2 linked regions of the Bombyx mori genome follow. The protein of the gene in region 1 purifies or fractionates together with the protein of each later gene. This does not show direct contact. Links are inferred from orthologs where the notes say so. Each region holds a gene or a part of one and is shown on either strand. Other genes may lie near its edges. The genes, in order: proton-coupled zinc antiporter SLC30A2 and protein-L-histidine N-pros-methyltransferase.

Region 1 (4,624 bases):
AATGTATAACTAATTATGTGATCGACAGAGCGGACAAACAGCCCGACTGTATTTTTTTTTTGTGTCAGTCCACTGATTTTTAACCCGCTTCCTACAACCGCGCGCCCGCCGACTAGGCGCGTTAACACCTCCGCCTCCGCCATTCGCCCCATCATGATGTACGACCAACCCATACCGTGGGCCCCCAAGGTCAGATACCTAGGCGTCACTCTCGACAGAGGGACGATATTCCGCCCCCACTTAAAGACAGTACGCGACCGTGCCGCCTTCTTACTAGGACGCCTCTACCAGATGATTTGTAGGCGAAGTAAGTTCCTTAGAAATAAGGTGACACTCTACAAAACTTGCATACGCCCCTACATGACCTATGCAAGGGTAGTGTTCGTTCACGCGACCCGCACTAACTTAAAACCACTCCAAGTTATACAATCCCGTGTTTGCAGGATAGCCGTCGGAGCCCCGTGGTTCGTCAGGAACATCGACCTCCATGATGACCTGAACTTAAGAGTCCATCAGTAAGTATCTACAGTTGGCATCAATGGGCCACTTCAATAAAGCGGCACGACACGAGAACCCTCTCATTGTGGCCGCCGGTAACTACATTCCCGATCCTGCGGACAGAATGGAAAGCAGTCGACGTCGCCCAAAACACGTAATTTCGGATCTTTCCGATCCACTAACGGTGCTTTTAGGTACCTCAAGCACCGGTCATGGTTCTTGTCAAACCCGTCGCTTGCGACGAAGGGGTCGACGAGTACATTAACCCACAGGCACAGCCCACTGAGTTTCCATTTATATTCTACAGGTAAACTAATCTACAGCTAAAGTCTTCTGCTAAGTTTTAATTTCACTTAGGAACTCCTTAAAGTTTCTCGGAACGGAAGTGCTCTTCCATTTCCAAAGATTCGAGTTTTAGCGCAGTCCACCCGTGCAATATAGACCGTTCTCATAGTAATTTCCATAGATGGTTCTGATTCAATCATTCATCTTTTAAATCACTTTTTGGCCATTCCACCAAATTGTTCATGACCCTTGGTACCAAGCAAGTCAACATATCAATTGACCCAAACTATAGATTGATGATGTTGCGCCTGCCTAGCTCATTTAACGAACTAAGTTTAGGTACTCTAGCCTCAAACCGGATTTAGTACCTTGAGATCGCCTTGGCTATCGCAGATAATTTAGGTAGTTCTATCTATGTTCCCCTCATATTTTTAGCCACAAAAGTGTAAATTATACGTATGTCTTCGTATGGAAGAAATGGCATCTACGAATGCAAGATTGAGTCCAGGGTTCTTTATAGAATAAAAGTTATTCAAAGCTTATTACTTTATTTGGATCTTTAATGCTATTTCCTTCTATTTAGTTAACATTTTAGAAATGTAGGGTAAAAACGGTTGATATTCTTCATTTACCTATTAAAAATGCAAAGAGTTTCTTACGATAAACAATGAGTGATCATGGATGTTGTGATAATTTTTTTTCTCAATATAATTTATAGGAAAGAAAATCCTCAAAGTGTTTCCGTATCATCACAATAATACGGTTTTGACTTAATGACTAACCACAGACGTCTTCCCTTGATTCTTTACAATTTACGGGAACTTTTTATCACTTTATAAATTGTTTGATAATCAATGAATTTTAGAACAACAATAGAGTTTTAGCCTTCATTTGTGTTCCGATTCCGAAGTTGAAAAAACCACCTTTTTTCGGGCATCGGACATTAGCATTCGGCAAGATTCATACCTTATAAAAATACCCGACTAATTTCAAGACATCTGAAATTGTTAAAGTTAATGCGGAGAACGCGACCTCGCTCACTTTGTCGATTACCATTGTTTTGTTGACAGCTTAATATGTGGTTTGGTTAGTCGTTTTAAACGTCAGTCGATTCGCGCACCTGAGATTGACAGAACAACGCGCGCAATGTCATCACATTTAATTAACGAAAAATATCATAATGATACAAAAATAAATACATTGAACGCGTTCACTGATAAGAATTTAGTACCATTGAGTGGTAGATATAGATCGAAAAGTTTGTCTAGTGATAAGTTGAATAAAACAAACGCTGATCGTGCGGCTATATTGGAAGATGTCGAGGTCCAGTACATAACAGACAAGTCTGAGACACCTGGCTGTCTCGTCGGAAATAGAGATATGGTCAGCGGACAACTGAATATAAACGGGTGAGTGAATTTTGTTTACAACGCCCACACATAACTAATGACCTTTTGACAGATTCGGAAGGGTTCAAGTTAATAAAATTATGACAAAACTTAAAATAATACATACTTCAAATAATAACAAAAATAGTATATCGTTGATTAAAGTTTAGTAAAAACTTTGGCGTTTAAAAATTAAAGTTCATTCCATAATGTTGAAACTATGAACTCAAATCACATTTATAAGAAATAGCTTTAAAAGTACCAGTTAATTAGTAAATAGTCAAAAGCCAATTTTAAATTTGAATTTAAAATGAAGTTATAAAAGTAGTTAAAGTTAACTAAATTTAAGTTTAAGTTTCTAAATTAAAGGAGTACTTGGATGGATGGATGGATGGATTAGTGTACTTGAAATATACTTAGAAAGTGCTCACATACAGAATGCTATAGTTTTAAGTTAATTTTATGTCAATTTCAAATATTGACATTTTAATATATTAATTTTTTTTATACTGGGTTTATTTATAGATAAAAATTAAAATTAATATTATATTTTATATAATTTAATTATAGATAAAAAAAAAAAAATTATGTGTGATTAAGTGATTATAGTGACATTGTAGATGTCTATGGGCTCCGGTAACTGCTTAACACCAGGTTGGTCGTGAGCTCGTCCACCCACCTAAGCAATAAAAACAAAAAAACACTATGCCTTGGTACATACCTTATTTGGTACATTCTAACAACAAAAAGTCCTTAAACTTTTAAGCTGCTAATTACACTGTTTTAACTCTTAAAAGTTCAAATTGAGACTTTTAAAATGGATAAGGATAATTTCTGTGTTACAATTTGCTTATATTTGGAAAAGGAATCGTAGAGTTTATTGCTGATTCCTGTCACCAGTGAAATAGGAATCTGAATCTGCAGTAGCTATGTCAGCTTAGATCTACTTGAACAGTAAAACCTTTTTGAGTGATTTGTTTATGAAAACAAAGATGGGAACAGACCCACTTCTGGATTAAAAATGGACCATAATATTGCACTACTTTCAAGGTATAATCAATTCAATTCAATTATTTCAATTTCAATATGAAACACCTAAAAAGATAAGCCTTTTTGCTTAGTCAAGGAAATTATTAAATTTGTAAAGTGTACAATTAATAACTCGTAATGGGAAATTTTACCCTACTATCTGCTTAGACTATGCTGGGGATGAATAATTGTCGCAGTGTATATTAAAATTAATTACAAAGATTTCAAATTGCAATGGTTACTGTAGAAACTTGACTGCACAATGCATTATTAATCTTTCACTTGAAATGTTTATCGATGCCTTAAACAGAGCTCTTGAGTGCATTTATATCAATGTTATGTTATGATAAGAAATAATGTACAATGCAAGATAAATAAACTGAAGATCTAAATTATTATATTACATTGAAGGCCGAAAAACAGGGGTCTTTGACATTATCACATTATTTTTCTAGGCTAATCAACAAGTAATCTTTATCAATAGCTGTCATCACTATATCAACGAGATCCCTCTTAGAAATGTTGCTCCAAGCACTCATGAATCTCACAAGTCAGACATGTCATCGTAATTTAACTTTTATTTTCAATAATGTTAGCAGAAAGCCATAATTTAGGCATTACACAATGTATAGGTACATAAACCCTGAGTTTCTACCTGATTTTTTCAGTAGCAAGACTGTAATCCATACTAGTGGTAGTCTTGACTGTGATATAAAATATATCTTTGTATAAAAACTTTGTCATTTATACTATTGTTCAAAAAAAACGCTCATGAGTAATCCACAAAACAAACTCGATAGGCCCCTATTTAGTGTCCTTAAATTATTCATTTTGTATTCTTATTTAACAATATCACATCACAAAACATGAAATGCAAATAAACTATAATTGGTAAGAGTTTGAAGCAAACATCTTATTTCTATGTTATGTATAATTAATTATTAGGTTTATAATAGTGCCTTGGTACATTTGAGGATATTGCAACCCAAAAGATGTAAATATAGGATCCTGTTATCAACAGGCATACACGGGTGTCGCCTTTGGAGCGGGCCTATTTGGGTATACTTTTAGCTGGCACGCACATGCGAGCAATGTTGACGTGCATACACGTGGATCATATATACCTAGTCAGGTCATAAATTCTGTCACATGTTTAATATAAAATAATTGAAACAAGTTTATTCATTATGTAACCATTCATATACCAAAATGAACTTAACAAAACATAGATTCTTATGACACTAAAGTTTATTCAAAATGACCTCCGTGATTTTGAATACAGGCCTTCATTCTGCGCGGCCAGTCATCTATCGCAGCACGAACGAGGTCCATGTCAATATCGACGGCTGCCTTAATCAAGGATGTCTTGAGTGACTCCAAATTGGGATGAGGCTTTGAGCACGCCTTTTCGTCCAAGTATTGCC
Region 2 (4,346 bases), on another chromosome or scaffold:
TGAAGTTAGATCAGCCCCTTAGGCTACCACCGATTAATTGAGGAAAAAAGAAACCAGTAGGTACTCATGATTTTGTTATTGGAACTATATCATTATACCTACTATTCGAAAATACAGTTCACCTAATTTCGAAATGCTTTTGTTTTTATAATAACCGTTTCGCTGAATTCGACTTTACCGTAAAGTTAGTTTTAGATCTTTTTTTGTAACGGTTAAAAAGTGTTTGTCAAGAGTAGCGGTGACGGACATAGCCAGTGAACGGACGGTCACGGGCAAGGCCAAACCAAGATTATATATTCTTAAGAATTTAAATCAAATAGATCATTAAAAAACGACCTTTCTCTATTCAGTGTTGTGTATTTAAACGCGTCGACTGCAAAACGTGATTCTCACTATATTACGTGTCATTAAGTGATTCAGCACGAAGTAACGGTGTACCATCATAATGAATTTAGTGCTGCGAGAGATAGTGGCAAAAGCTTCGATTGAAGCTAAACAAGAATCGGTTAGTATTATGTTTTTATGCTTACCCATCAATAATAATTATTGATAAGGAAAGTTTAAGGGACTATTTATGGAAGATTGAATAAATAAATAGCTTGTATGTACTTAGTTACACACCATAGTTGGTATTAGTGCTGTATTAGCAATGGTACTTACTACTAATGATAACTTAAAATCATATAAGTTTCACGATTTGCATAAAATAGTAAACCACAAGGGTCACTTTTATAAAGAGTGCGCAAGTGTAGGCTTAAAGTGACACAAATACCTAACACAGGTATTATATTTTCGGATTTTTTTTAAGACATACCTAATGTGGTAAATATGTGTTAATTTAAAAAGTTACTTAAAAAAGGCTTACGCCACACATCAATCATCAGTTAATCATACAGTCCTTGTTAGTCCTTGTCCAGTTACTATGCCATGGGATATCTACCCACTTCGAATAAAATTAAGTTGGCCATGATAAAGTAACAATGTGATTTACGACCATGAGATTTTCTTTTAAACATATGTAATTTATAACTTTGATGATATAAAGCAAAATTATGCGTTATAGTAAATATAATGAATGCTTTTCATACCATACATTCAAAATTGTAATGCAAAAAATATAAATGAAAAACGAATGAAACAATTTCATTGATTTCAAAATGTTAAATGTAGTCCAATTTTAATGACAATTTAAAGCTTTTCAAGATTTTTTTAGAACATTTATGGCAACACAAAAACGATTCTGACGTTTGTGTGACGTTTGTGCGAAAACCAAAACAAAGACATAAATTTCGTTTTTTTAGTGAATTGATTGTTAATAGAATTTTGCTGATATTAACTATTGCATATACTACACACAGTATTGTAATTAACTACTGAAGATGTATGGATAACACTTTTTTGTAAGAAACCGCTAAAGTGAGGTTAACTAAGAAGAAAATAAATTGTTGATCGTTCTGAGAAAATTCAACATAGTAAACTAAATGAACCATACTCTTCTATTACTATGTAGTTTCATGCTGCAGTGTTGTGCGTTATCAGAGAAGCATTTAAATGTATGCTTAAGAATTGACTTATTTTTTTATGCAAAGGACTGCCAAGCATTCATCTTAAGAAGTAGCCAATCTGAACACACAGGCTATAAGAGGTTTCTATTAGAAGAATTAATAGTAGAAGATAAAATGTCAAGTGAAAGTAGTTTTTATCGACCAAGGAGTGCACTAGCCCGAGCACTGTGTGAGAAACAAAACAATGATAGATATCTCCAGGAACTCGATCAGAATGAGGTAAGATGAATAATATTCACGTGAAAAGTAATAAAACATTAATATAAATAAGTTTCTTGACAGCAATTAAATTATCAATATTCTTCTTCTTCTATTTAGATAAAAATGAATTGCTGTTCATTTAGTCATGCTAAAACTCTAGAACGGCTGGACCGATTTGACTAATTTTGGTCTTGAATTATTTGTGAAAGTCCAGAGAAGGTTTAAAAGGTAGATAAATATGAAAATGCTTAGAATTAAATAAAAATAACAATTTTGTTTTGCATTTGATGTGTCCTCCCTTGGACGGATTCCTTTTGTTTGTGTTAAGTTTATTTTATACAAAAGTTTAGGTCCTTTAGTTATCAATTGAGGCACTACGAAGTCTGCCGGGTCAGGTAATAAAATATAAAATTTCCAAAGGAAAACTTTTATTCAAAACAATGAAATTTTCTACTAATGGAATTCATGTAAAACTAAAATAATGATACTAGGTCTAGAATTATACTTCATGTGTGCATATGTAATACCAAATGAAAATGTTTTAGATACAACTGCACTATGAACAACCCTGTAAAAGTACTATGTTGAAATTTTTTTTATTGCCTTTGTAGGCAAACGTCTATGTGGCCCGCCTAATGGTAAGTGGTTACTGTCGGTTATGGACGTCAGCAATGCCAGGGGCAGGGCCAAGCCACTGCCTACCATTGAGTATTCTCTGCAAGCCGTGTTTGAAGAAGGACATATCATATCACACATTTATCACAATTTAAGTTTTTAAGTTACATTGAAGTACCATATTTTAAAATTTATTTACTATCATTCTAAAACTGCTTTAAAAATTCAAAATTTCAAAATTATAAGCAATATTTTTTCCGGTCAGTTGGTAAATGATTAGTATCTTTAAGAATTTTTATACTTATATGTTCCAATAGTTGCTAGGGCACCTAACTACTTTACAATAACATATATATGTAAAATAAGCAAAAATAAAACATCTAAATACTATTTTCCCTACCCTCCGTTTGCAAGTGTTTCTCTTTTTTTTAATAGCAGATTTTTACTGCTATCAATGATGTTGTTTTTAGGGAATAAGTAGCCTTTTTTTCATCAATGCATCTTCTTTCTGAAACGCATAAATAATAATAAGTCTTTAAATAATAATAAGTAATTGAATAAACATTTAAATAGTTAAATAGTACATTATCTTCCTCTCTATTTCTGCTCAAAATCAGTATTTGCCATTTGTATCTGGATATACTTGTCCACTTGTATGTTTGAAGACTTAAAAAAATTTAATTGCTTATTCATTTAATCCTTAGTCCTTATTTTTATTTCATTATTTTTATAGCCTTTATTTATTTAGTCCTTGTCTTAAATGGAATAAGTACATGTAAGCTTATAACTTAATTTAGCTTAAAAGATCATGACCGATTTGCCTGCCTTGTTTTGAATAACAAACCTAAAATGGCTAAAGCAGAATAGGAATTACTGGTAATATTGAATTAAAAAGCAAAGTGAGACTGTGCAATCACATGCCTGAAATTTAGATCCTTAGGATCTTAAGTGAAGTTCCTATTACAACGGCTATTACACCTCTTGAATAAACTCAATTGGTCAGTTTTTTCCAAGCTCTGTAAAATTCTCTACGTCAACAAAGAGCTGTTTGCCTTAGCCTTACTATTCCTAATATCCATAAGCCACAACAATTTCTCACCATCAAATTGGCCCTATGCTTGTCTGCATTAGGAGGCAGTAATACAAAGATTAATTGACTTTCTTTAACTATCTCTTTTTACAAGAGGTCTCAGCCACCTGGCTGTTTCCCTAATCCTGCTGATCTTCATGAGCTACAGTGACTACTCACCATGAGCTTGGCTGTCTGCCTTTTTTTAGGAAGTTCCATTAAGTTGTTACCTGAACCCCATTGATTGACATCATTGTGATTATGCCACTCTGAGGACAAATTCTCAATTGGAAGGCATCCTCTTGCCACAAATAGCCACGACGGTGCATTAGGACTCATGGGAAGATTTTATGCCTTTAATCTATGTCTTTGATCTCTGCCCTTGAGACATTACCAAACAAACGGGCCGATGATGCGCTTGTTTTTTTTCACCTGGTGAACAGCACCTGGAGTTATGTGGTTACCGTAGTCCATAGACATCTTCAAAGTAAATGCCGCCAACTACCTTGAGATATAGGTTCTAAGGGCTCAGTACGGTTACAACGGCTGCCCCACCCTTCAAGCCGAAACGCATTACTGCTTCACGGAGAAATAGGCATTGTATTTGCAATGACCTACGTAAATAGGCAGCGTGGTGGTACCTACCCGTGCGGACTCATAAGAGGTCCTACGACCAGTAATTACGTAAATTATAATTTTGCTAGTTTGATTTTTACTACACGATGTTATTCCTTCACCGTGGAAGTCAATCGTCAACATTTATTACGTACGTATTTCATTAGAAAAATTTGTACTTGCAAGCGTGATACGAACACCGGTGTATCGCTAGATACGGATGCACCGGACGTCTTATCCTTTAGGCCACGACGACTATATCAACTATGTTGTTCAACTGT

Evidence for each region.
Region 2: the proteins of proton-coupled zinc antiporter SLC30A2 (region 1) and protein-L-histidine N-pros-methyltransferase purify together in Homo sapiens (co-immunoprecipitation; 3 studies listed by BioGRID and IntAct, with this or other methods). This does not show direct contact. The link is inferred for Bombyx mori from reciprocal best matches to the Homo sapiens genes SLC30A2 and METTL9.

Annotation. Positions count from the first base shown.
Region 1 is NC_085111.1:18,805,635-18,810,258, forward strand, and holds the start of proton-coupled zinc antiporter SLC30A2, read left to right. Parts: upstream 1-1,788; 5' UTR 1,789-1,929; coding exon 1,930-2,192; intron 2,193-4,624.
Region 2 is NC_085117.1:14,585,503-14,589,848, forward strand, and holds the start of protein-L-histidine N-pros-methyltransferase, read left to right. Parts: upstream 1-1,228; 5' UTR 1,229-1,481; coding exon 1,482-1,784; intron 1,785-4,346. UniProt on the Homo sapiens protein: Protein-histidine N-methyltransferase that specifically catalyzes 1-methylhistidine (pros-methylhistidine) methylation of target proteins.